7 linked regions of the Callithrix jacchus genome follow. The protein of the gene in region 4 binds, or shares a complex with, the protein of the main gene of each other region. Links are inferred from orthologs where the notes say so. Each region holds a gene or a part of one and is shown on either strand. Other genes may lie near its edges. The genes, in order: ANP32E, ING3, VPS72, KAT5, BRD8, TRRAP and MORF4L1.

Region 1 (3,500 bases), on a different chromosome or scaffold from region 4:
AATCAGTAAGACAAACAAATCTCAGAAAATTTAACCAGAAAAAGCAAGCCCAGAGACAAAACCGTTCCACTTACCAGAGCTTCTACTGTACTGAGATCTTTTATTTTGTTTCCACTCAGATTGAGGTAGGTAAGATTTGGACATTTCTCTGCCAGGACTTCTAAGCCTCCAGAAATTATATTGTCACTAAGCTCCAACTATATATTCAACACAGGAAAAAAACAAAGAATAGTAAACGTAGCATGTCAGAGTTTTTTTTTGTTGTTTTTTTTTTGAGGCAGAGTCTCACTCTGTCACCCAGGCTGGAGTGCGGTGGTACAGTCTCCACTCACTGCAATCTCCACCTCCTGGGTTCAAGCAATTCTCCTGCCTCAGCCTCCCGAGTAGCTGGAATTACAGCTCCCGCCACCAGGCCCAGCTAATTTTTATATTTTTAGTAGAGACAGGGTTTCACCAAGTTGGCCAGGCTAGTCTTGAACTCCTGACCTCAAGTGATCCACCTGCCTCGGCCTCCCAAAGTGCTGGGATTACAAGCGTGAGCCACCGAGCCTGGCGTATCAAATATTTTTAAAGTATATCAATTTAAAGCAAAAAAAAAAAAAAGTCATTCTCTCTGGCTTCAAGAAATGATCACTACAGATCGTTAATTTCCAAATTCCTACCTATATCTGCCAAACAATGTATTAGAACATCTACATAATGGGCTCCTAACCCTGCCTGGATTCTAGTTGTACTACATTTGGATTTCATGATGTGAGAAAAATATTTGATTAAATTCAAATTTGTGTTATAAGGCAATTCCACCATTAGATTTAAATTTCTAGGCCGGGCAGAGTGGCTCACACCTGTAATCCCAGCACTGTGGCAGGCCAAGGCAAGAGAATCACTTGAACCAAGGAGTTCAAGACCAGCCTGGACAACATGGTGAAACCCTGTCACTACAAAAAACCACAAAAATTAGCCAGGTGTGATGGCACATGCCTTTAGTCTCAGCTACTGGGGAGGCTGAGGTGGGAGTATGCTTGAGGCTGAGAGGCAGAGGTTCAAGTGAGCTGAGATCACACCACAGCACTCCAGCCTGGGGAGCAGAGTAAGACCCTGTCTCAAAAATAAATGAATAAATAAGGCCGGGCACAGTGGCTCACACATGTAATCCCAGCAGTTTGGGATGTCAAGGTGGGCAGATCACAAGGTCAGGAGTTCAAGACCAGCTTGGCCAACATGGTGAAACCCCATCTCTACTAAAAATACAAAAATTAGTCAGGTTTGGTGGCGAGCACCTGTAATCCCAGCTCCCTGGGAGTCTGAGGCAGGAGAATTGCTTGAACTTCGGAAATGGAGGTTACAGTGAGTCAAGATCACCCCACTGCACACCAGCCTGGGTGACAGAGTGAGACTCCATCTCAAATAAACAAAGGAATAAATGAATGAATGAAAGCATATTAGAGTTGACGCACAAAATCCTATATAATGTTTTCTTATCTCTAGAAACTTAAAAACTTCTAATTAGCAAGCAGAATGGTCATTCAATTTGGCTAAACACTAGACATAATAGTCATGGCTTTGAAATCATGATGCTTCCCGTAAACGCCAACTTACTTTTCGAAGTTTATTTAAGCTGGGAAGCCGGGCCAGTGAACTCAGTTCCACATTAGCCATACTCAGAAATTCTAGTTCTTTGAAAGTATCATTCAGGCCTTCAATTTCCCCATTGACACACAGGCAATTATCAAGGACTAACTCTGTCACCTGTAAGAGGGAACACATTAATTAATGATTCTTTCGTTTGTAATCTTTTTAGCTATAGACTTGGGTCTTGAGACACTGGAAACCACCAATCTCCAGTTTGATCGCCCATTAGTTAAAACAAAACGCAACACAACAAAACCCCATCAATCCCCTTACACAGAGCCTTTTCATCTTCCCCCAAAACTAATATTCAATCTTAAGTCATCACTATAAGTAATCTTTTTTTTTTTTTTTTGAGACGGAGTTTCGCTCTTGTTACCCAGGCTGGAGTGCAATGGCGTGATCTTGGCTCACCGCAACCTCCACCTCCTGGGTTCAGGCAATTCTCCTGCCTCAGCCTCCTGAGTAGCTGGGATTACAGGCACGCGCCACCATGCCCAGCTAATTTTTTATATTTTTAGTAGAGACGGGGTTTCACCATGTTGACCAGGATGGTCTCAATCTCTTGACCTTGTGATCCACCCGCCTTGGCCCCCCAAAGTGCCGGGATTATAGGCTTGAGCCACTGTGCCCAGCCCAGGTAATCTTTTAAACTTCTTTTTTTGTATGTTTTTTTTTTTTGAGATGGAATATCACACTGTTGCCCAGGCTGTAGTGCAATTGCAATAGAGCGATTTTGGCTCACTGCCATCTCCGCCTCCTTGGTTCAGGCAATTCTCTGCCTCAGCCTCCCAAGTAGCTGGGACTACAGGTGCGTGCCACCATACCCAGCTAACTTTTTTTGCATTTTTAGTAGAGACGGGTTTTCACCATGTTGGCCAGGATGGTCTTGATCTTCTGACCTCGTGATCTACCTGCCTCGGCCTCCCAAAGTGCTGGGATTACAGACATGAGGCACCGCACCCAGCCATCTTTTAAATTTAAACTTGGACTAAAGTTCAATATCTGCTTCAAATCACTGATGCATAAGAAACAAACTTTGGGCTGGGCATGGTGGTTCATGCCTATAATCCCAGCACTTTGGGAGGCCGAGGTGGGTGGATCACGAGGTCAAGAGATCCAGACCATCCTGGTCAACATGGTAAAACCCCATCTCTACTAAAAATACAAAAATTAGCTGGGCATGGTGGTGCGTGCCTGTAGTCCCAGCTAACCGGGAGACTGAGGCAGGAGAATTGCTTGAACCCAGGAGGCGGAGGTTGCAGTGAGCCGAGATCGTGCCATTGCACTCCAGTCTGGGTGACAACAGTGAAACTCCATCTCAGAAAAAAAAAAAAAAAAAAAAAAGAAGTTCTCATGTGAAACCTGTTCTGACCCTGATGAAGAAGACCCTCAACATCAGGGAATATATTTATGCAAGGAGGGGGAACTTGAGCTACCAGGAAAAGATTTAAATGAGTTGCCCTAAAACCTACAAAGGGCCGGGTGCGATGGCTCCACCTGTAATCCCAGCTCTTCAGGAGGCGGAGGCAGGTGGATCACTTGAGGTTAGGAGTTCAAGACAAGCCTGGCCAACATAGCGAAATCCTGTTTCTACTAAAAATACAAAAATCGGCTGGGCTTGATGGCAGGCACCTGTAATCCCAGCTATTCAGGAGGCTGAGGCAGGAGAATCACTTGAACCTGGGCGGCAGAGGTTGCAGTGAGTCGAGGTCATGCCACTGCACTCCAACTTTGGTGACGATTAAGACTCTGTCTCACCAAAAAAAAAAAAAAAGAAGAAGAAGAATAAAGAAGAAGAAACTGTTTAATCACTTTTTTTTTTTTTGAGACGGAGTTTCACTGGTTACCCAAGCTGGAGGGCAATGGCA
Region 2 (3,500 bases), on a different chromosome or scaffold from region 4:
TAACTTACCTAGCGTATTTTCCTTAGAGGCATCTGATGTAAGGGTGGATAGAAGAGCTTCAGATTTAAACTTCTTTTCAGGAATATGATCTGTTGTTGTATGGTGAGAAGTTGGATTATATTTCCTTTCTAAATAAATAAAGAATTCACGTGTTTTTAAACTTTAGAGAACTATGGACAAGATATAATACTTCTATCCAGTTACAACGTGGAACAGTATGATCTGGGTTCCTCTAAAATACAGAACATGATGTTTCCTCAGAAGGCAGGGCAAGCAGAACTCTGTGTTACATGTTTATTAAGAGTAGACTTCTCTGCCATTTAAAAAACTTCAGTACCAAAGTACTAAAGATAACCCAACATGCACCATGGCCTCCCATACAATATGAGGAAAATTTTGTTTTCAAAGCATTATTTACCACTTAGAAAAGTTTTCAGTCAACTATCCTTTCCTATATCAACTAGCCAGCCCGTCATCTAACAATTCATCCACTCACTAACTTAGTAGCCATTCAGACTTAATTACATGCCAAACATTAGGTTAAGCACTGGAGAAGCAAGGATGAAAAAGAAAAGGGCCTATTACAGAACAGTTTATTGTCTGGCTCAATTGTAAAGCTCCCTAAGGAGAATCAGGTATGCGTAGGGAAGGAATATATGCTATTAGTACCATACATTCTCCCTTTAAGAGAGAACATTTAAGAGAAAACAGAACACTCATTTCTGAATCATATAAGCTTTCCACAAGGAAAAAGATAGTCTGCAGTACTTGCAATGAAAAAAAAAAAGGAAGGGATTTCTTCCTCAATTGGTTGAATAAAGTTAAAAAAAAGAGAATATACAAGTGATATAATAAGGTTTTAATTGTTTTTCAAAACTTAGCTGTACTACACCAAACTTACTTTCCACTGGAGTATGTGAATGAGCATGGTGATTGTTCACTGGCTGTGAAGGAGTATCTAATTCCAAAGATCCTAAAAGAGAGGCACAGAGATACACCACTATTAAATGTCACCACAGAACTTCACATGTTAGTCTACTACAGGCAATGAGTTCCCTTACCCAGAGGAGGACTAGCAAGTTCTGATGCATATGCCTGTATCATTTTAGCCAGACATGTTAAAGGATCACCACTGTCCATCCCACACTGAGTTATCCTCTCTCTAAACAATAAGTTCTTTTCCCAATATTTATCTTAAGTACAAAATGGCTCAAGGCATACTTGTGTCTAATTAGGGAATTTACCACAGTGGGTGCATATAAATGGATGAATGGACATTGTAATCTCATTACTGGTAAGAGCCAACCTAGTTTTACTGAATTGAAGACCTTTTAAAGGGAGATTCTAAAGTTCTATGTAATGGGGGACATTACTATATGAAAAAAATTATTTGATTATTAAAATGCCATTATGATAATAAAGACTTCATAAAAGTAGTTAGGGATTTTGCTTGCAAAAGTGAGAAGAATAACACCAAGCTTAAAAATAACTCTAATGAAATTTTCTGGGTTTATTTTTTGATCCCTTGAGATGAAATTATGGCAGGGCACAGGGTGGAGCACTTTTTATAACTTGATCCAATTTTGCTTCATATGTCTGTGTCCTTAGAGAGGATGCTTTATTAACCTTCCTGCAGTACTGAATAGGCATGAATTATCATTACTCACAGCTATCATCGGCATTTTAAAGAAAATCAAAGCAGCTAAAGAATTTTAAGTTTTGTCTCAAAATACTTATTAAATCTTCAGATAGGGTTCCTCAAGAAGAAAAGTATCACAAATAAATAGGATGGTTATCTAAAGTGATGGATCTACTTTTGAACACAAACATGGAACTATGGATATCAAGACAGACTTGTGATTGGCTTCCCTAGCTGACTTATGGTGACTATACAGAGATACATAGATTGGCACTATAAAGAAACCTTTCCTCTGTGTGTAGAAACAGGTACGTATTCCTGCTATTGAAATGCACCAAGAAAAAATATGTTTGTAAGTTTTAATTAAACTCTAGTAGAAATTAGCCATAATACTAATTTGGTTCAGTTAACATCTAGTGAGTGCCTACTCTACACCTAGTACCACACTAACTGCTTTTATGTACGTTACCTATTTAGGTTAGAAGAAATGCTAAATTAGTTAAGGAACCAGTGTTCATGCTTCCATTTTTGGGAGGTCATACCTCCCAAAAGAAGTGACAGGGTTAAGTTATAGCAGGAGATCAAATAGAGCCTTGCAAAGAAATATTTAAATGGTTTCTTGCTGATAAGCGAAAGAAGGAAACACTTCCTTAAGAAAAAGAGGTAGTGTTATGAAACCAAGTTGGATCTTTTTCAGTATATACAGTTAAGGAAAAGCCATAAAGTAATTCTTATGAAGAGAAACTAACCACCTTCCTCAAAGCTTAAGTATATAAAGAGGCAGGGTAAAGTCAACACATTTAATGCAAGATAGATAATTTGTCTCCCGACGGTTATGTTTCTCTAAATTTTTGTTCTTACCACTCAACTTACTAGGATATGAGGATATAAAAATGATTTAATATGCTATTTCATAAAAAGTGAGTGGATGGTATCCTATATTATCTCTCTCAGTATCCATGACCCAAACATTTCCAGCTGCTAGGGTCCAAGCTATCTGGCCTAGATGCCACCATTCACTTAAGGGCAGGATTTGAAAAGCCTCTGTGGGACAAACGTCTTCTCAGTGATTTGCACATGTACTGTCCAATATTGATGGAAAACTGTAAATTTTACTTACGCCTCTCTAATATTTCTGTAATTCCAGCATTATCAGCTTCCAGCTCCATTTTAAACTTAGCCAGTTCCTGATCCAGCTTTCTCAAGTGTCGATCTACCTGTTTCAAAGAAGATCAAAGATAACCACCAAAATTTGGGACACTGTTAAAGTGTCAGTTTAATGAGGAAACCTAAATCTTTGTTTCTTTTAGTGAATCTGCTTAGTATCTTTAAGCAAGTCAATTAACCTATGCCTCAGAGGTTTTTAATCTATAAAATGAGGGTGCTACGCTAGTAATCTCCCAAGTCTCCTTTAATATTTTTAAGTTCTAAGACCCGGACTCTCAACTTGTTAGGAAATATTCTATACTCCATTTTCAGAAGTAAGGACATGAAAATTAGAGAAAAACTGAGATTAGGGGTTAGAGATGGGAGGAGGGAGTGGAGGCTGCTTACTTTTCATAATGTATGCCCTGTTATTACTTAAAGCCTAATCTCCTCCTACTTATAAGGCCATCATCCACACTGTCATATGATAAAACCTATTATTTAGAATGATGAAAGATCCTTAGTCTATAAAGAAGCTCCTGTTTTCTACACATCTATTTCTCTTAGGCATGAAAGTGAACCATTATGCTTGTAAACATTTACATGAAGAGTAACAAAAGGGGTTTTTAATCAGAAAATTCCATTCCTCAAAAGGTCTGGTTAAAATTATTTTATTTATAATACTACTTCCCTAGTTAAGTTGGCAAAATTTTAT
Region 3 (4,110 bases), on a different chromosome or scaffold from region 4:
TCCTGGACTCCCAAAGTGCTGGGATTACAGGCATGAGCCATCGCGATGGGCCCCTAAATTCTGTGGGTTCTGTTTCTTTACCACCATGCCCCCTTCTAGCCATTCTCATTACAAAGTAAGTAATCTTTATTTATTTATTTTTTTTTAGATGAAGTTTTGCTCTTGTTGCCCAGGCTGGAGTGCAGTGGTGCGATCTCCGTTCACAACTTCAGCCTCCCAGGTTCAAGTGATTCTGCCTCAGCCTCCTGAGTAGCTGGGATTACATGCATGTACCACCACACCCAGCTAATTTTATATCTTTAGTAGAGACGGGGTTTCTCCGTGTTGGTCAGACTGGTCTCTAACTCCCAACGTCAGGTGATCTGCCCACCTCAGCCTCCCAAAGTGCTGGGATTACAGGCATGAGGCACCTCGCCCAGCCATAAGTAATCTTTCTAAGGAACAAATTTCATCATGGAACTCTGATGACTCATCTCAGTCCTCTGGATGAAGAGCAAAACTCCTTAACATGGCTCACAAGGCCGCCAATGATGTGGCCCATGCCTACTCCCTCCAGGCTTATCAATATTTAGTCTCCTTCATGCTCTGGAGGATGAGAGTAGACTTGCAGGTCCCAGACAAAGATCTCAACTTTACCTACTCTACCCAACCTGCTCTGTGGACTAACCTTTCTCCTCCTGCTTTTCACCAAGCCAAGGCCTACTTTTCAAACTCCTCAGCTTAAACATCATCTCTCCAGGGATGCCTATCCTGATTAAAAACTTTGGCTCACATGTATTACCTTTGCACTCTATCTTACCCCTTGTTTTAGTCCTTATCACACAGTATTTTTTTTTTGACACACAGTCTCTCACTCTGTCACCAGGTGCCAGGCTGGAGTGCAGTGGCACAATCTCAGCTCACTGCAACCTCTGCCTCCAGGGTTCAAGCAATTCTCCTGCCTCAGCCTCCCAAGTAGCTGGGACTACAGGCACATACCACCACATCCAGCTAATTTTTGTATTTTTAGTAGATACGGGGTTTCACCATGTTGGTCAGGATGGTCGAGAACTCCTGACCTCAGGTGATCCGCCCACCTCGGCCTCCCAAAGTGCTGGGATTACAAGTGTGAGCCACCCACACCCAGACTTTTTTTAAACTTTATTTATTATTTATTTATTTATTTGAGACGGAGTTTTGCTATTGTTACCCAGGCTGGAGTGCAATGGTGAGATCTCGGCTCACCGCAACCTCTGCCTCCTGGGTTCAGGCAATTCTCTTACCTCAGCCTCCTGAGTAGCTGGGACTACAGGCATGCGCCACCGTGCCCAGCTAGTTTTTTGTATTTTTAGTAGAGACGGGGTTTCACCATGTTGACCAGGATGGTCTCAATCTCTTGACCTCGTGATCCACCCACCTCGGCCTCCCAAAGTGCTGGGATTACAGGCGTGAGCCACCGAGCCCGGCTATTTATTATTTATTTATTTTTTGAGATGGAGTTTCATTCTTGTCACCCAGGCCGGAGTGCAATGGCATGATCCCCGATCACTGCAACCTCTGCCTTCTGGGTTCAAGTGATTCTCCAGCCTCAGTTTCCCAAGTAGCTGGGATTACAGGTGCGTGCCACCATGCCCAGCTAATTTTTTTATTTTTAGTAGAGATGGGGTTTCACCATGTTGGTCAGGCTGGTCGAGATCTCCTGACCTCAGGTGATCCGCCCGCCTCGGCCTCCCAAAGTGCTGAGATTACAGGCGTGAACCACCGCGACAGGCCTATCACACAGTATTTTAACTGACTGTTAACCCAGCCAGTTACCCCACTGGGGTATCGAGTATGTAAGGACAGAACAGTGTTTTTAATATTCTGTTTCCCTAGAAAACAGAGCCTAACACAACCTATCACCAATGGCATGCTCTGGGTTCTCAACACATTTAATAAATAGGTAGATTCAACTAATAAAAATTCAGCAAGTGGCAGCCCAGTCCGGACACCTCACGCATAATGTTGAATAAAACAGACCGTCTCTAACTTTATAGAGTTTACAACGCAATAGAAAAGTATAAGCAAGTAAGCAAACCAAATCTAATTACAAGCTGAACTATGTCCTGTGAAGGTAATAAATGGGGACACTTGTCAGGATAGTCAAGGAAGGGTTATCTTTCGGAGAAAACATGTACACTGAGACTTGAAGCTGAAAAAGGAGTGGGCTAAGCTCCTCTACCTTTGGAGCAGTTCCTTCCCGTGTCTCCGATGAATAACCCAGCAGTAGGCCAACGAGTACACACCGAGCAGCTGACTACTGCGTGTGCCTCGCATATGCTGGACGTCAGTAGGACAGTGGGAGATGCAACCAGAGAAGTACACGGCAGGTTTCCGCCGTTCTCCATAGTGCCTCCTGAGAGCTTCTCCCTCCCAGGCCCCTTTGACCCCATCCAGAGCTCTCCCTTCTAGGCCTCCACAAACTATCCGCTCCCCCGCCCCCACCCACACACTCCGATTCACCCAGCCATCTCGAATATCAGCTCCCAGAGCTCCTCTCTACTCCCCGCCCTCTTCTTTATCCCGGGTTGCGTCCTTCAGGGCTCCTCTTCGCTTCCTCCCCTCCCTTTTCCCAGGCCCGGATCTTGCCTCTGTGAAACCCCCATAAGTCGTCTGGTAGAACTCATCTTCTTCCTCTGCCTCCAGAAGCCCCGAAAGCCGGTTCCCAGCGGTCTTCCGGGGGGCCCGGCCTCCAGCCAAACTCATACCGTCTACTTAGACCTCGCGGCCACCTGCGACCCCTCAACAGCGCGGTTCTGGAAGCTCGACGCTCAACACCACTACCTGCGGGTGGCCGCCAGCGGCGGAAGTTGGGCGTTTACAGGCAGAAGTAGCAGAGTGTCGAGAGATTTCTAGTCTCTGCCTCTAAATCCTCTTTACTCTTCAGCCTGTCCTATGCCTGTGCGGAGCCTCCAAGCCGCTTGCCTTAGCACCCAATAATCTGCCTTGCTCAATGAGTCCACTTGGTGACACAATGGCCCCCCACAACCCTAAGTCAACACATTTTATTTATTTTATTATTTATTTTTCTTTTTTTAAATTGCATTTTAGGTTTTGGAGTACATGTGAAGAACATGCAAGATAGTTGCATAGTTACACACGTGGCAGTGTGATTTGCTGCCTTCCTTCCCTTCACCTATATCTGGCATTTCTCCCTATGCTATCTCTCCCCAACTCCCTATCCCCCGCCGTCCCTCCCCTATTCCCCACAACAGACCCCAGTGTGTAGTGCTCCCCTCCCTGTGTCCATGTGTTCTCATTGTTCAACACCCGCCTATGAGTGAGAACATGCGGTATTTTCTCATTTCTGTTCTTGTGTCTGTTTGTCATTATTATTATTTTTTGATGTCGAGTCTCTCTCTGTTTCCCAGGCAGAGTTTGGTGGCGTGATCTTGGCTCACTGCAACCTCCACATCCCCGGTTCCAGCAATTCTCCTGTCTCAGCCTCCCTAGTAGCTGGGATTACAGGCGCCCGCCACCACGCCCGGCTAATTTTTGCATGTTTAGTAGAGACAGGATTTCACTATGTTGGCCAGGCTGGTCTCGAACTCCTGACCTCAGGTGATCCACCCTCCTCGGACTCCCAAAGTGCTGGGATGACAAGTGTGAACCACCGCACCCGGCCTATTTTATATTTATATTTATTTATTTTTTAAGAGATGGGGTCTTGCTATGTTGTCCAGGCTGGAGTGCAGCACGATCCCACTACTGATCAGCAAGGGAGTTTTGACCTGCTCTGTTTCCGAGCTGGGCCAGTTCACCCCTCCTTAGGCAACCGGGTGGTCCCCCGCTCCCTGGAGGTCACCATATTGATGCCGAACTTAGTGCGGACACCCGATCGGCATAGTGCACTACAGCCCAGAACTCTTGGGCTCAAGCAATCCTCCCACCTCAGCCTCCCGAGTAGCTGGGACTACAGGCGCGCGCCACCACGACCGGCTAATTTTTTGTAATTTTAGTAGAGACGGGGTTTCGCTGTGCTAGCAACGATGGTATCAATCTCCTGACCTTGTGATCTGCCTGCCTCGGCCTCCCAAAGTGCTGGGATTACAGTCGTGGTCCACCACGCCCAGCCACATTTTCTTTTTCTTT
Region 4 (2,684 bases):
GTATTCAGGAAGGTCGATCTCTTAAAGCCAGAGGGACTCTGACCTTCATCACACATGGGCTCTTCATTGCCCTTCCCAACCCTGAGGCCCCCTTCTCCTTCCAAGCCTCTTACTCTCTGTCACCCCCCATTCTGTCTACCTTACCACTCACCAAACCCTTGGAATAACCAAGCTCCGACCTGGGTGACAGGAAGTACTAGCTGGTCTGGTGAAGACACAGAGGCTTTAATTGATCAAGGTTATGGTCCATTTGAGGAATTTTATTGGTTAAATGATGCCCAGATGGGGTCACATCTTCAGGAACTTCTCAGCCTGGTAGCACGAGTGGATGCTTGAAGAAACTCAGTCCAAGTCCGTCTTGGAGCTCAGACCGCAGTGGAGATGGGATGTGGGTGGGATCACCAGGGGGCTAAGGTCCATTATGAGGCTGGTTATAGCTGAGGGTGAGGAAGGGCTTCTAGTACTAACAAACATTCCAGGTCCCTGAATGGGGAGAATGAAGACCCTGCCAAAGAGATGTGAAGCCACTCAGGGCTATGCAGGGTCTGAGGATCTCACTGCTTCCCAGTGCTCACCTGTCTGCACGAGTCAGAGGGAGCGAGCCACTGTCAGGGTCAGTTACACTGGCTCTCAGGAATGGTCTCCCCGTCTTAGGAAGCACCTTGATGCACCTTCTCTCCTTGCATCCTCACAACCACCCAGTCAGGCCACACAGGTCTTAGAGCAGCTCACACTTCCAAGATCCCAGGTAGAAGGACTGATTTGACTGAGAATTCAAGCCTCCTCAGGCCTGGATCTGAGACGGGAATCAGTCCTTACTTCCTTCCTCACTGCCCAGACACCAAGCCTGGGATGGCAAAGGAAAATTGGAGGCACTTTCTTCCCCTGAGCCATTTTCTCTGCATCCCCTGCCTGTAAGCCTTCACCAGCTTTTGGTCTCCCTTGTGGTTGTTGCAGCTGTTCCTCTCAGTGCCCTCACACCCTCCACTGTGCTCAGCACACTGGGGAAGAGAGAATACACAACCATTAGTTCTTCCTGAGGGCACAGAACTGCCAAGTGGTGGGGCCACTATGGGAACTAGGCAGCCTGCCTTGGTGACCTGTGTTTTCAAATGTTGCTTATGTTCATCTGTGACATCTTACCCTCTCCTGCTCCATTGCTTTAGGCTATGAACTCTCCAAAGTGGAAGGGAAAACAGGGACCCCTGAGAAGCCCCTCTCAGACCTTGGCCTCCTGTCCTATCGAAGTTACTGGTCCCAAACCATCCTGGAGATCCTGATGGGGCTGAAGTCGGAGAGCGGGGAGAGGCCACAGATCACCATCAAGTGAGCCTGGCCCCACCTACCTGGGGGTGCATGGCATGGCCTGTCCCCGGGCTTTCTCACTCTCTCCTGGGGCTCCTGGGGACAGATGAAGGTTCTCAGGGGACCTGACCTTTGCCCTCCCACAGTGAGATCAGTGAAATCACCAGCATCAAGAAGGAGGATGTCATCTCCACTCTGCAGTACCTCAATCTCATCAACTACTACAAGGTAGGGAGGAAGGTAGGGGGAGACAGGTGTGTGGAATGCAGAGTGCAGGCCCCTGTGGGCTGACCACTTGCTGGTCCATTTCCTCTGCCCAGGGCCAGTACATCCTCACACTATCAGAGGACATCGTGGATGGGCATGAGCGGGCCATGCTCAAGCGGCTCCTGCGCATTGACTCCAAGTGTCTGCACTTCACTCCCAAGGACTGGAGCAAGAGGGGGAAGTGGTGACCAGGCACTGCCCACTGCAGTGGCAAGACAACAGCAGGACTGGGGCTGATAGCACGCCCCACCCTGTCCCCACTGCAACTCCCACAAAGCACTCTAAGGGAGTTGGGGCTGAGGACAGCTCCAAGAGGAGGGGACAGGCCTAGCAGGGGCCCACTGGTGCCCAGTACCAAGGCGAGCTCAGGGCTCAGGCCAACTCCAAGGTCAGCTGGCTACAGGCCCAGGCCTGCTCTGAACCAGGGACCAGAGGGAGCCAGGCAGCTGTGTACAGTGAGATGGGGGGTGGGGGAGCTCTGTACAGAGGGCTAGTATTGTAAAAATTTCTTTTGTAAAGTAGAAGTTGGGGGTGGGGTGGGTGCTGGCTGCAAAGGATTCTGGACTTTCTTATTCCCATTGCCCTGGCAATAAATTGTTTCTTTATGCCAGAGCCCTGCAAGGTTCTTGTGGGAAAGGGGCCCATGCTGGCTTAAGGCCTCTAAGGCGCGCAGACTCAGGTGCTGTGAAGAGCTCCTTTATTGGGGTGATGGAATCAGTGGCTCCAAAATGAAGAACTGGTTTACTGCTGTGAAGGAAGGGATCGTGGCTTTCAATTTCAAGCTCTGGTTCTCAGTCCTCGGGCACCTGTGCGTGAATCTGCAACAGGAGTCGCCTCTGCTGTTGGGCTTGTAAGACAGGGCGGCAGGCTGACCCCCACACCCGGGGAACCACCCAGCTGTTCAGAATAACCCCTTCAGGACATGCGGGGAGCCGCGCTTCCCATGCACTACACAGTAGAATCCTCCAGGCTCCGTCTGCCCTACTGTGCTCCTCAGCCCGTGTTCCAAAACTCCACCCAGGGCAAGATCCAGAAAGGGGGCTCCTTGTGTACTCACCGCTGCCGCGAGGCTGGGCCAAGTTAAGGCCCCACGCACTTTGGCATCCGGGCCA
Region 5 (3,500 bases), on a different chromosome or scaffold from region 4:
ACTATTGTACTCCAGCCTGAGCAACAAGAGCAAAACTCCATCTCAAAAAAAAAAAAAAAAAATATATATATATATATATATATATACACACACACATACACACATATATATATACACATAGATAAATAGAGATAGATATGGATAAATGGATCATATGACTTAAAAGTCAATAATATAAAATAAATAAATAAATCTATATCATCCTTTTGTTCCCTGCATTCCTTCTCAAATAAGGATATAATACTGAGCTCATCATAACTTTATAAACTTATTTGGCTATGAAAACATATCTTGAGTTTATAAGTAATAAAAAATAACAGATGGGAAATAAAAAATGAAAAGGCAGATATAAAAGCAACCAAACTTTCTCGACCCCTTTTTCACTGACCTTTTTACCACATCCTTGTACCCTGGGGCCTGCCTTTCTGACACAGGCTTCAGAAATGGACTGCTGAATCTGTTAAGGGACAAACCCAGAGAGGATAAAGAAACCCTGGTAAGGTTTTCTAAAAGAGAAGAGAAGCTCAGTTCTTAGTAGACTTCCTTTTGCAGAATGCAGAATGTGAGCACCATTAGAAAGAAATCTATTTGTTCCCTCTTGATAGAGAGTTTAAAAAAAACTATAAAATATTTAACTATTATTACAATATACTGATTTAGGGCTCAGAAATTTGTTCAAAGTTCCTGAGGCCTTGTCTCTGTGAAAAAAGAGAATCCACCAGATTGAAAAGAAGAATATACATTTTAAATACAAATTTTATCATGAAGTAGGAACCAATTTCTAGAGGCAATTCAAATGGCACAGCAACTATTTCTTGTACTGACTTAAAGCAGCTGTGAGTACTTTGGGATAAATCAGGCTTAGATACAGAATCTACCTTTCAACTATGGCTCATTTGAGGTATGAACATATCTCTTTTTATGCTTAAAACCCAATATGTATTACTGCTTCAGTTCTGAACATAATCCTATCACCATTTTGGAGACCTACCTGTGACTGGCAATCATCTTCCAGACTGGCAGGAGAGTCTTCTTAAATAGCAAATGATCCTGAACAGGGTCATCCTGGCTTAGATCAGTCCTATGGGATAAAACATGACAGAAAAGAGACAGTAACTTCACAAATAATATTCTGTCTCCCCAGGTGGGTAATGAGGTTTTCTTTTCTTTTCTTTTTTGAGACGGAGTTTCGCTCTTGTTACTCAGGCTGGAGTGCAATGGCGCGATCTCGGCTCACCGCAACCTCCGCCTCCTGGGTTCAGGCAATTCTCCTGCCTCAGCCTCCTGAGTAGCTGGGATTATAGGCACGCGCCACCGTGCCCAGCTAATTTTTTGTATTTTTAGTAGAGACGGGGTTTCACCATATTGACCAGGATGGTCTCGATCTCTTGACCTCGTGATCCACCCGCCTCGGCCTCCCAAAGTGCTGGGATTACAGGCTTGAGCCACCGCGCCCGGTCTGAGGTTTTCTTAAGACATGCACCCAATTATCTGAAGTTTTCAAAAATCTCTCCTTAAGTTATCTGGCCAAGCAGACTTAGTTATTAATATCTATTAATAACTATTGCTTTCTCTTTTAATTTTTAAATTTTATTTTCTTGAGACTGATTCTTGCTCTGTTGCCAAGACTGGAGTGTAGTGGCATGATCTCAGCTCACTGCAACCTCCACCTCCCGGTTCAAGTGATTCTCCTGCCTCAGCCTCCCAAGTAGCTAGGAGTACAGGTACGCACCACCATGCCCAACTCATTTTTGTATTTTTCATAGAGACGGGGTTTTGCCACATTGGCCAGGCGAGTCTCAAACTCCTGGCCTCAAGTGATCCACCCACCTCAGCCTTTCAAAGTGCTGGGATTACAGGCACGAGCCACCACACCCAGCCAATTTTTTTTTTTTTTTTTGATAGAGGGTCTTGTTCTGTTGCCCAGGCTGGAGTACAGTAGTGTGATCATGGCTCACTGCAGCCTCAACCTGCTGGGTTCAAGTGATCCCCCTGCCTTAGCCTCTAAGTAGCTGGAACTACAGGCACATGCCACCACACCCTGCAGCTAATTTCAGTATTTGTTGTAGAGACAAGGTCCCATTATGTTGCTCAGGCTGGATAGCTACTGCTTTCTAATAAAGATTTCATATTTAATCTAAATTCTAAGATAAGGATGTAGAGTTTACCATCCAAGACTATTAACTATCATGAGATAAAATGTCTCATATTGCAGATTTCCTGCTGTTTGTACGGTCACAATGTGTCATGTCAGCACTCTATTGCTCATACTTAAGGAGTTACAGAAAAGCAAATGAAGGTATTCCTCACCAATCTACATTTTAAACTATATGTGTACCAAAAATTGAAATCTAGGCTGGGCACAGTGACTCAGGCCTGTAATCCCAGCACTTTGGAAGGTTGAGGTGGGATTGCTTTAAGCCAAGAGTTCAAAACCCAGCCTGGGCAACAAAGGAAGACCCTGTCTCTACGGGGAAAAATAAATAGATAAATCTGCTGTTCAAACTATATATATATAATATATATAGTTTGTTATCTGTTATATTTATATATAACAGATAAATTTATATATTTATATATAACAGATAAAATTATATATAAATAACAGATAAATCTGCTGTTCAAACTGTATATATTGTATACAATATAGTTATATATATAACATTTATCTGTTATTTATATATAAATTTATCTGTTATATATAAATATATATTTATCTGATATATATGAATAGATATATTTATCTGGTATATATTTATATATCTGCTGTATATCTTAAATGAAAAAACATTAGAATAATTGTTAGTTTTGCCTTTCCACAGACAACTGGGTGGATCTGGGATATAGTGATGGAAAAAACAAACAGTTCATACTATATTCTCTCAGTAGGTGGATCTGACATTGTCCAGAAAAAGACTATTTATTACCGGAGTAAAAGTAACTTACTTAGCTGTGTGTAGTGGCTCATGCCTGTAATCTCAGCACTTTGAGAGGCTGAGGCGGGAGAATCGCTTGAGGCCAGGAGTCACAGATAAAAGCAACTTTGTTTTTATTTTTAATTTTATTTTATTTTTAAAAAATAAAGACGGGGTTTCACCATGTTGGTAAGGCTGGTCTTGAACTCCCAACCTCAGGTGATCTGCCGGTCTTGGCCTCCATGTTTTTCTGCTTTAAAAAGTAATTCGTGGCCGGGAGCGGTGGCTCAAGCCTGTAATCCCAGCACTTTGGGAGGCCGAGGCGGGCGCATCACGAGGTCAAGAGATCAAGACCATCCTGGCCAACATGGTGAAACCCTGTCTCTACTGAAAATACAAAAATTAGCTGGGCCTGGTGGTGTGCACCTGTAGTCCCAGCTACTCAGGAGGCTAAGGCAGGAGAATTGCTTGAACTGGGAGGCAGAGGTTGCAGTGAGCCGAGATTGTGCCACTGCACTCCAGCCTGGCACCTGGCAGCAGAGTGAGACGCTGTCTCAAAAAAAAAAAAAAAGTAATTCACTTCAG
Region 6 (4,255 bases), on a different chromosome or scaffold from region 4:
AAACTTCCCCCTTCCCACAGAAGTCGTCAACTCTTCATTTTCGAGGGTCCCACAGAGCCTAGGGGCCCTGGCTAGGGAGAAACGCCCCCATTCCGCGTGTCTGCGAGAAAGCGGCTTCGCCACCCCGGGTGCCGGTTGCCGGGTGCCGAGGGCCCAGGCCGGGCCGGCGACGCGCAGCTCCCTCTCCCGGGGACGAACGGCCCCGCCGCCCCTCCCAATCCCCCGCCCCGACCCCGCCAAACCCGGCCTGAGGCGGCGCCGCCGGGCCAGAGGGGGCGCTGTGGTCACCGCAACCTTCGCTCCCCGAGCCGGGCCTAACCAGTCCGGTGCCTGCGTGGAGGCCCGGAGGTGCCAGGTTGGCCGGGGGGCGCCTCCCGAGAAAAGGGACCCCCCCCCGCAACGTCCCACCCGACCTCTCAGCTCACAAACGGCCCTCTGGTTCCTTCCTTTTGTCGCAGTCCCGGGCTCAACGCGACCGCGTCCCAAACCGAGCTACGGCGAGCGCCGAGCGCCAATTCCCGCACCCGCGAGTGCTGCGCCTCCTACGGCTTCCTCTCAGCTCGGCCGCGAACGCCGTAGTCCCTGCAGCCCCCGGTGGACCCTGGCGGAGGCCTAAGGAACCCCGGGGCGCTCGGAGCCCCCCCACTCCCTCCCTCCGCCGAGCAGCCGCACTGCAGAGGCCTCCCCATGCCCGGGGGCCGAGCGCACCTCCCGGGGCCGTTCAGACACCCGCCCCCCAACTTACCCCGACCTTGGCGACCCGGCTGCAGCAGGCCCGGCCCGCGACCCCTGCAACCCCCAGCCGAACCCTCGCCGCCGCCGCTCCGCCGCGCGCAGTCCCGCCCCCGCTTAAAGCGGCCGCGCCCGCCGACCGTGCACCAGGCCCCGGCGTACCGCCCCCAAGTGGGTGCGGCCTGGGCGGGCGCGGGCGCGGGGAGGGGCGTCCACCATCTCGGTGGGCCCCGGCCCTTTAACCCCCCGCCAGCCGTGATCGGGCCAGGCCAGCGCCCAGGTTCTAGGGGCTTCATCGGCCCCTAAGTCTACTCCCAGAAGTCAGGCCGCGGGGAGTGCTCGGGGATCCTGGGGGCCGTGGGCAAGTTGGGAGGGCTTTCCCGAGTTGGCAGCGATGGGGCCCAGGTATCGTCTACCACTGGACTGAAGGTGGCAAGCAGGGCAGAGTTTGCCACCCCTACTCCCCGCTCCCCTCCTGGGGTCCTTCTCATCCCGCAGCAGGGAGAGAAGGCCAGGAGGGTCTTTGGGAAGGTAAGGCTGGTGACGGACTGAGACCCTATTAGCAAAATAAAGTCCGGGTGTGCTTCCTGGAGTTGGCTGCCCAGGTGCAGAAGGGTCTCATTGGTTCTCCAGCTGCTTTTCCGCCGAGGCTGGATCCACCTGTCGGGCAGATCTACCTCCATCAAAACTTGATGGAGATTTTTTTTTTTTTAAATAAGTTTCAGGCCAGGCCCCAGTAATGAAGGGATAGAGGGGGGATGGAGCCAAGGGAGGTGGCACGGGCCAGACCAAAAGGCGTCTCGAAGGGAAACGTACCGTCAGGAACTATGGTTGCTACAGGGACACAGGACATGTTACAGGGACAGAGCATGGAAACATGACCTGAACTTGGCCACCTCCAGGCCCTGGTTCCACCTTCCTGCGCCTACCCCCCCACATCACTAACCCACCAAGATCATTATGTTCCCTTCTCAGACATACATTTCCTACCCTGCGATAATAACTGTTGCAGTGCCCATGGATACTCTGGAGGAGAGGTGCTCTTTTTCTGAAGCTCCTTGCTTGTTTAACGTTGCCACTCAAGAGCAAGGCCACAGCTGAAATGTTGGGATTGTAAGTGGATGTTTTTAGCAGCAATTAATTCTGCCCCAGGAGAAACAAAATGCTTCAGAATAGCCCTTCCATCACGGAAGAGGTTGCCTATTTGTGAGCAAAATCTGCTGTGGTCCTACCACCACTACCCCAAGAAAGTGGGAGGCCTAGCTGGGTGTGGTGGCTCACGGCTGTAATCCCAGCACTTTGGGAGACCAAGGCAGGTGGATCACAATGTTAGGAGTTTGAGAGCAGCCTGGCCAACATGGTGAAATTCCATCTCTACTAAAAATGCAAAAATTAGCCAGGCGTGGTGGTGGGCACCTGTAATCCCAGGTACTTGGGAGGCTAAGATAGGAGAATAGCTTGAACCCAGGAGGTGGAGGTTGCAGTGAGCCAAGATGGTGCCACTGCACTCCAGCCTGGGCAACAGAGCGAGACTGTCTCAAAAAAAAAAAAAAAAGGGATATCCCTGAACTCATTTTGCTCCCTCCAAGCTACTCCAGGATTTAGCCCCAAATGCATCTCCCAGGAGCTGATTCTGAGTCGTTGTTACCTGCCCAGCAGCCCCCTCAGCCCATAGTCAATTTCCAACGCAGGACAATGAGGATGTGTGGTAGGAATACGGACCCTAGGGCTGCTGCCCTTGAATGACCAAAGAAGATTCTATTATACCACCTTGCTAGGGCCAACAGACCAACTAACACTAACTTGCTTTAGAAAGACTTTCACCAACAAGAACTGACTCCAAAGGAGTGTGAGCTTTCCATTACCCAGAAAAATGTAATTAACCAAAACAGGTCCCACCACCAGAGCCAGGCGAATGAGATTTGACTGTTCACAACGTCTGATCTGTCCCCGGGCCCCAGACCCTTACCTGTGGCTGCTGTTCTGGACGTTTGGCCCGAGGCATCCTTTGTTAAGGCTGCCCTCAGTGTCTATTGTGACCGACGCTCACCGCGCCAGGGGAGAGAATGTCCCCTCTGTGCTGCTGCATGATTATATGAGATGGCATCTCCGAAAGCAGTCCAAGGTCAGTGCAGAGGAGGCACGGACAAATGGTTTCCAACACTGAGTCATGTTCAAGGCCTTGGGGGAGTTATCAAAGGGAGGCCTCATCTTATTCTTTCAGCCATTCCACTTTTAGCATCTGCTTTGCAAACTACATACTGTGTATGTAATTTTAAGTTTTCAAGTAGCCACATTTCAAAAAAAGAAAAAGAAGTGAAATCAATTTTAATAATGTTACAAAACTCAATATACTCAAAATATCATTTCAACATATAGTCAATGTCAAAATGATCAATAAGCCAGGTGTGGTGGCTCACGCCTGTAATCCCAACACTTTGGGAGGCGGAGTCGGGCAGATCTCTTGAGGCCAGGAGTTTGAAGTATCAAGTTCTTGAGGACTCATCCTTTCAGCCATTCCACAAGCATCTACTTCGCACTAAACTACATGCTAAGTAGCAGGCACGCAGACACATGGCGTAGGTGAGGATGCTTGGAGGAAGGTCAGAGTCACTCTGGTAAGAGGGACTTGTGGCCCCTATGGGCTAGACTGGGAGAATTGTGGAAAAAAAAAAAATGACTCTTGAGGCCAGGCACAGTGGCTTATTCTTGTAATCCCAGTACTTTGGGAGGCCGATGGGGGAGGATCACTTGAGGCTAGGAGCTCAAGACCAGCCTGGGAAACATAATGAGGCTCTATCTCTACCAAAAATAAAAAAATTACCTGGGCATGGTGGTGCATGCTTGTAGTTCCACCTGCCTGGGAGGCTGAGGTGGGAGGATCACTTGAGCCCAGGAGTTAGAGGCTGCAGTGACCTATGAGTTACAATTGTGACACTGCACTCTAAACTAGGCAAGAGGGAGAGAATCTGTCTCAAAAACAAAACAAAAAAACAGGCCAGGCGCAGTGGCTCTCGCCTGTAATCCCGGCACTTTGGGAGGCTGAGTCAGGGAGATCACCTGAGGTCAACAGTTCGAGACCAGCCTGACCAACAGGAAGAAATCCTGTCTCTACTTAAAAAAAAAAAAAAATTTTTTATTTAAATAAAGAAAAATTAGCCAGGCATGATGGCACATGCCTGTAATCCCAGCTACTTGGAAGGCTGAGGCAGGAATTGCTTGAACCTGGGAGGCGGAGGTTGAGGTGAGCCGAGATTGTGCCATTGCACTCTAGTTTGGGCAAAAAGAGCAAAACTCTGTACTCTGTCTCAAAAAAAAAAAAAAGGAGGACGAAGAAGATTCTTGGGATGGTCAGATGCATTTGTACCCAGACAGTGTAGCGCTGTGCTTTCCACTTCAGCAGCCACTAACCCCGGGTGTGGTGTGGCCCCTCTGAATGGAGATGAATTCGCAGTGTAAAATGCACATGAGATGGCGCAGCCTTATGACAAACCAAAAAAGGCTGGAGTACAGTGGTGCAATC
Region 7 (3,500 bases), on a different chromosome or scaffold from region 4:
ACTACCAAGCATAGACTTACTTTAGGAAATCGTGAAGATAATTCAGTAATAAAGCAAGGCTCTTCTCATCCAGAGGTGTATAGGCCAACATTGCTCCAATTCGTACTGTTTAAACAAGAGGAATTATCGAAAGTTACATCCAAGGCAGCAGCACTTTAACCATGTATTTTAATTATGTGAGCAAATGCAAATTCCTTTAAAATACATTATTTTAGGCCGAACACAGTGGCTCATGCCTGTAATCCCAGCATTTTGGGAGGCCAAGGTAGGCGATCACTTGAGCTCAGGAGTGCCAGACCACTCTGGCCAACATGGCGAAACCCCATTTCTACTAAAAATACAAAAATCAGCTGAGTGTGGTAGTGGGCACTGTAATCCCAGCTATCTGGGAGGCTGAAGCAGGAGAATCACTTGAAACGGCAGGCGGAAGTTACTGCACTCCAGCCTGGGCGACAGAGTGAGACTCCGTCTCAAAAATAATAATAAAATAGAAATACATGATTTTTAAAACTCTTGCTCTTAAAGATTCTTTTGCTATTTAACATTCTAGATCAAAGTTCAAATTAAAATGGAGTCATGTTTTGGAAAGTTAATTATCTCATATTCATTTAGGGAAGACCCTCCCCCCAAAAGCAAAATTATTTTCAACATGGCATTATTACCAAATAGTCTCAGTAGATGTGGCGCTCCATACACCTGGGACATGGGTGCATCAGGGTGATCTGCAAGAATTTCAGCATACTGTGGTCTCTCAAATTTGTAGAGTAGCTGGGTACCCAACATTACATTGAAGTATTCTTTTATCCCTGCCACAACTTCATTAACCGCATACTCCCTGATAAATGAACAGAAATATTCCAAAACTGGTCAATGAAAAGAACTGAGATAGAGAATAATTTAATCAACCAATTTAAAGAATTAAGAGTTGAGCTAGTAAAAATGAACCCACAGCTGAGATTTTTTTTTAAAAAGGCACATGAAAGCAGCGTTTGACAAACTTACATTTTCATATGGTTATGCAAATATTTACATGATAGTTTAAACTGTGCCTAAAATATTTACTATCTGGCCCTTTAAGAAAAAGTCGATCAGCCAACTCCTATGTCAAAGCAGTGAAATTCTATTTTGCTACTTTTTGGTGATATGTTTCAGAGTCAGTACAAGTTTCAGATGATTTATTTAGAAACACATTTTTTTTAGAATGTCTTTTGAGTGTATTTGAAAGGTGTATATTCTTACTTATTATCTGTGTTTCCACGAGATTTCTTGTAATTTGCATAATCCTCAAGAATGGAATCCACATTCTTCTTGGCAGGAAGATAAAAGAGCTATCAAAACAAAAACATGCTTGAATATAAGCACTCTTTTTTTTTAAAAAAAATTACACCGGGAAAATTTTTATACAATAAAAATTTAATTACAAACAGTTTCCAACTTACAATGGTTTGACTTAATTTTCCAACTCTCTGCTGGGCCTATTGGGATGTAATCCCATTCTAAGTTATGGAGCATCTATTTATTTAAACAGCCAAATGTGGCCAGTGAGGCTGTACTGGACAGAACAGCACAGCTTTTAAAAATATCAAACTGTTAGACACACAAAACAGACACAAATGTGCCTCTGTGGTATTACCAACTCATTTACTGTTATACATATTATTTGCTAGACCTAGTCTAAAGCATTAAAATAGTTATCGTTTTATCCTCTCATCGACATTGTCAAATAGGAATTATTATTCCATTAAATGCAGAAACAAAAGCACAAAAAAAGCTAAGAAACTTGTCCAAGCTCACAAACAGTAAGTGATACAGCCACGGCTTGAATCTTCGCAGTTTAGCTGTAACTGCATAATCCTCCAACGGATTCAAATCAGAATTCAAACTATGTCCGTATGTTGTATATGACTGATATGTTTTAAGTCTCATAATCCTCAAGCAGTCCCTAATCATCTGCCCCCCACCATCCCTAACACTACCTATGCCATTTGTTTAAAGAGCTTCATTTGTCCCACAAAATTCTCAATTATAGAGTTCAATGATGGATAAACATGTCGCTCCATTAAACATCCTATTTCCTGCAAACTAGTAACAGACCCAGGAGCTTAGATTCAGGTTCTTTTCAGGGTCATGAATATCTTGCAGGTGGTGACAGGTGCTTTCTATGGCCTACCATTAGCAGGGATGAAGACAGTAAACACATGCTGCTTTGCCTTTACCTATTTTCAGAATTACTTCCTGCCCTAGCAATCGCCAAAGTGTTATTGACACCTTTATCATCACAAAGTCATAAAAGCTTTTTTTTTTTTTTTTTTTGCTAGCAACAATGTATCACATTAGCTAGCAATTTACCTGCTTTTGCCTGGTAATTAAGTCCCAGTCATCAACAAGCCATGGTTTTAGTTCTTCAGGAATCTTTACTTTAACTTCAACTCTGTTCATGAATGTTTCCTCCTATACAGAAATAGAAGAGTATTTAAAAACCTACCTTTATCACGCCACTGCACACCAGTCTGGGCAATAGAGTAAGACACCATCTCAAAAAATAAAACAAAAGAAAACAAAACCCCTATCCTTTCTTGCTAAATACCAAACATGGAAGGGAGTTGACTTTTAAAGGCACTAGGTATAAATTCTCAAAGTAGCTAAGCATACAGCTGAACTGTCATTTTTAAAAACTGTAAATGAAAAAGACCATACACAGCTTTGCTGCTGGGAGAAAAGAATCTGACCTTGAACCATAGTCTATTTAGTACACTATCACTTAAGGTAAAAATTCTTAAGTTCCTGTTGTTCAGGAAATGAAATAAGTGATAGTACACTATCACTTAAGGTAAAAATTCTTAAGTTCCTGTTGTTCAGGAAATGAAATACCCTGAGACTTGATACGTTTTAACTTAGTATTTTCATATTTACCACTGACATCAAAACAACTGTTCCTAACACAACCATCTTAAAGACCCATCTTGAACTCATAAAAGTAAACATACTGATTTCTAATAGTTTTCAAAAACTGCCCCAAAATGCCTATTTTCAGATTCTACTACTTTTAGCTTCAGATATAAACTATGCCAGTTAGAAATTAAAATTCTAGGCCAGGCCGGGCGCAGTGGTTCACGCCTGTAATCCCAGCACTTTGGGAGGCCAAGGCAGGTGGATCACGAGGTCAAGAGATCGAGACCATCTTGGTCAACATGGTGAAATCCCGTCTCTACTAAAAATACAAAAAAATTAGCTGGGCATGGTGCCGCGTGCCTGTAAACCCAGCTACTCAGGAGGCCGAGGCAGAATTGCCTGAACCCAGGAGGTGGAGGCTGCAGTGAGCCAAGATCACGCCATTGCACTCCAGCCTGGGTAACAAGAGCGAAACTGTCTAAAAAAAAAAAAATTCTAGGCTGGCTGCAGTGGCTTATGCCTGTAATTCCAGCACTTTGGGAGGCTGGGATGGGCAGATCACGTGGTCAAGAGATAAACACTACCCTGGCCAACGTGGTGAAACCCTG

The links.
Region 1: KAT5 (region 4) and ANP32E share a complex: the UniProt entries of both Homo sapiens proteins name them as parts of the SWR1-like complex. The link is inferred for Callithrix jacchus from reciprocal best matches to the Homo sapiens genes KAT5 and ANP32E.
Region 2: KAT5 (region 4) and ING3 share a complex: the UniProt entries of both Homo sapiens proteins name them as parts of the SWR1-like complex. The link is inferred for Callithrix jacchus from reciprocal best matches to the Homo sapiens genes KAT5 and ING3.
Region 3: KAT5 (region 4) and VPS72 share a complex: the UniProt entries of both Homo sapiens proteins name them as parts of the nuA4 histone acetyltransferase complex. The link is inferred for Callithrix jacchus from reciprocal best matches to the Homo sapiens genes KAT5 and VPS72.
Region 5: KAT5 (region 4) and BRD8 share a complex: the UniProt entries of both Homo sapiens proteins name them as parts of the SWR1-like complex. The link is inferred for Callithrix jacchus from reciprocal best matches to the Homo sapiens genes KAT5 and BRD8.
Region 6: KAT5 (region 4) and TRRAP share a complex: the UniProt entries of both Homo sapiens proteins name them as parts of the SWR1-like complex. The link is inferred for Callithrix jacchus from reciprocal best matches to the Homo sapiens genes KAT5 and TRRAP.
Region 7: KAT5 (region 4) and MORF4L1 share a complex: the UniProt entries of both Homo sapiens proteins name them as parts of the nuA4 histone acetyltransferase complex. The link is inferred for Callithrix jacchus from reciprocal best matches to the Homo sapiens genes KAT5 and MORF4L1.

What each region holds. Positions count from the first base shown.
Region 1 is NC_133519.1:10,155,253-10,158,752, forward strand, and holds part of ANP32E (acidic leucine-rich nuclear phosphoprotein 32 family member E), read right to left. Parts: intron 1,750-3,500; coding exon 1,600-1,749; intron 198-1,599; coding exon 75-197; intron 1-74. UniProt on the Homo sapiens protein: Histone chaperone that specifically mediates the genome-wide removal of histone H2A.Z/H2AZ1 from the nucleosome: removes H2A.Z/H2AZ1 from its normal sites of deposition, especially from enhancer and insulator regions.
Region 2 is NC_133512.1:126,145,823-126,149,322, forward strand, and holds part of ING3 (inhibitor of growth protein 3), read right to left. Parts: intron 2,857-3,500; coding exon 2,760-2,856; intron 974-2,759; coding exon 902-973; intron 129-901; coding exon 9-128; intron 1-8. UniProt on the Homo sapiens protein: Component of the NuA4 histone acetyltransferase (HAT) complex which is involved in transcriptional activation of select genes principally by acetylation of nucleosomal histones H4 and H2A.
Region 3 is NC_133519.1:11,082,130-11,086,239, forward strand, and holds the start of VPS72 (vacuolar protein sorting-associated protein 72 homolog), read right to left. Parts: upstream 2,801-4,110; 5' UTR 2,725-2,800; coding exon 2,608-2,724; intron 1-2,607. UniProt on the Homo sapiens protein: Deposition-and-exchange histone chaperone specific for H2AZ1, specifically chaperones H2AZ1 and deposits it into nucleosomes.
Region 4 is NC_133511.1:122,810,577-122,813,260, forward strand, and holds the end of KAT5 (histone acetyltransferase KAT5), read left to right. Parts: intron 1-233; exon of another isoform or gene 234-463; coding exon of another isoform or gene 464-505; exon of another isoform or gene 506-827; coding exon of another isoform or gene 828-1,001; exon of another isoform or gene 1,002-1,166; coding exon 1,167-1,326; exon of another isoform or gene 1,327-1,451; coding exon 1,452-1,533; exon of another isoform or gene 1,534-1,625; coding exon 1,626-1,760; 3' UTR 1,761-2,184; downstream 2,185-2,684. Other genes in the region: RNASEH2C (ribonuclease H2 subunit C), read right to left, coding at 828-1,001, 2,630-2,684. UniProt on the Homo sapiens protein: Catalytic subunit of the NuA4 histone acetyltransferase complex, a multiprotein complex involved in transcriptional activation of select genes principally by acetylation of nucleosomal histones H2A and H4.
Region 5 is NC_133503.1:36,552,337-36,555,836, forward strand, and holds part of BRD8 (bromodomain-containing protein 8), read right to left. Parts: intron 1,082-3,500; coding exon 992-1,081; intron 458-991; coding exon 389-457; intron 1-388. UniProt on the Homo sapiens protein: May act as a coactivator during transcriptional activation by hormone-activated nuclear receptors (NR). Isoform 2 stimulates transcriptional activation by AR/DHTR, ESR1/NR3A1, RXRA/NR2B1 and THRB/ERBA2.
Region 6 is NC_133503.1:14,714,028-14,718,282, forward strand, and holds the start of TRRAP (transformation/transcription domain-associated protein), read right to left. Parts: upstream 2,801-4,255; 5' UTR 2,702-2,800; intron 852-2,701; exon of another isoform or gene 746-851; intron 1-745. UniProt on the Homo sapiens protein: Adapter protein, which is found in various multiprotein chromatin complexes with histone acetyltransferase activity (HAT), which gives a specific tag for epigenetic transcription activation.
Region 7 is NC_133507.1:29,178,285-29,181,784, forward strand, and holds part of MORF4L1 (mortality factor 4-like protein 1), read right to left. Parts: intron 2,452-3,500; coding exon 2,350-2,451; intron 1,329-2,349; coding exon 1,240-1,328; intron 836-1,239; coding exon 663-835; intron 106-662; coding exon 21-105; intron 1-20. UniProt on the Homo sapiens protein: Component of the NuA4 histone acetyltransferase (HAT) complex which is involved in transcriptional activation of select genes principally by acetylation of nucleosomal histones H4 and H2A.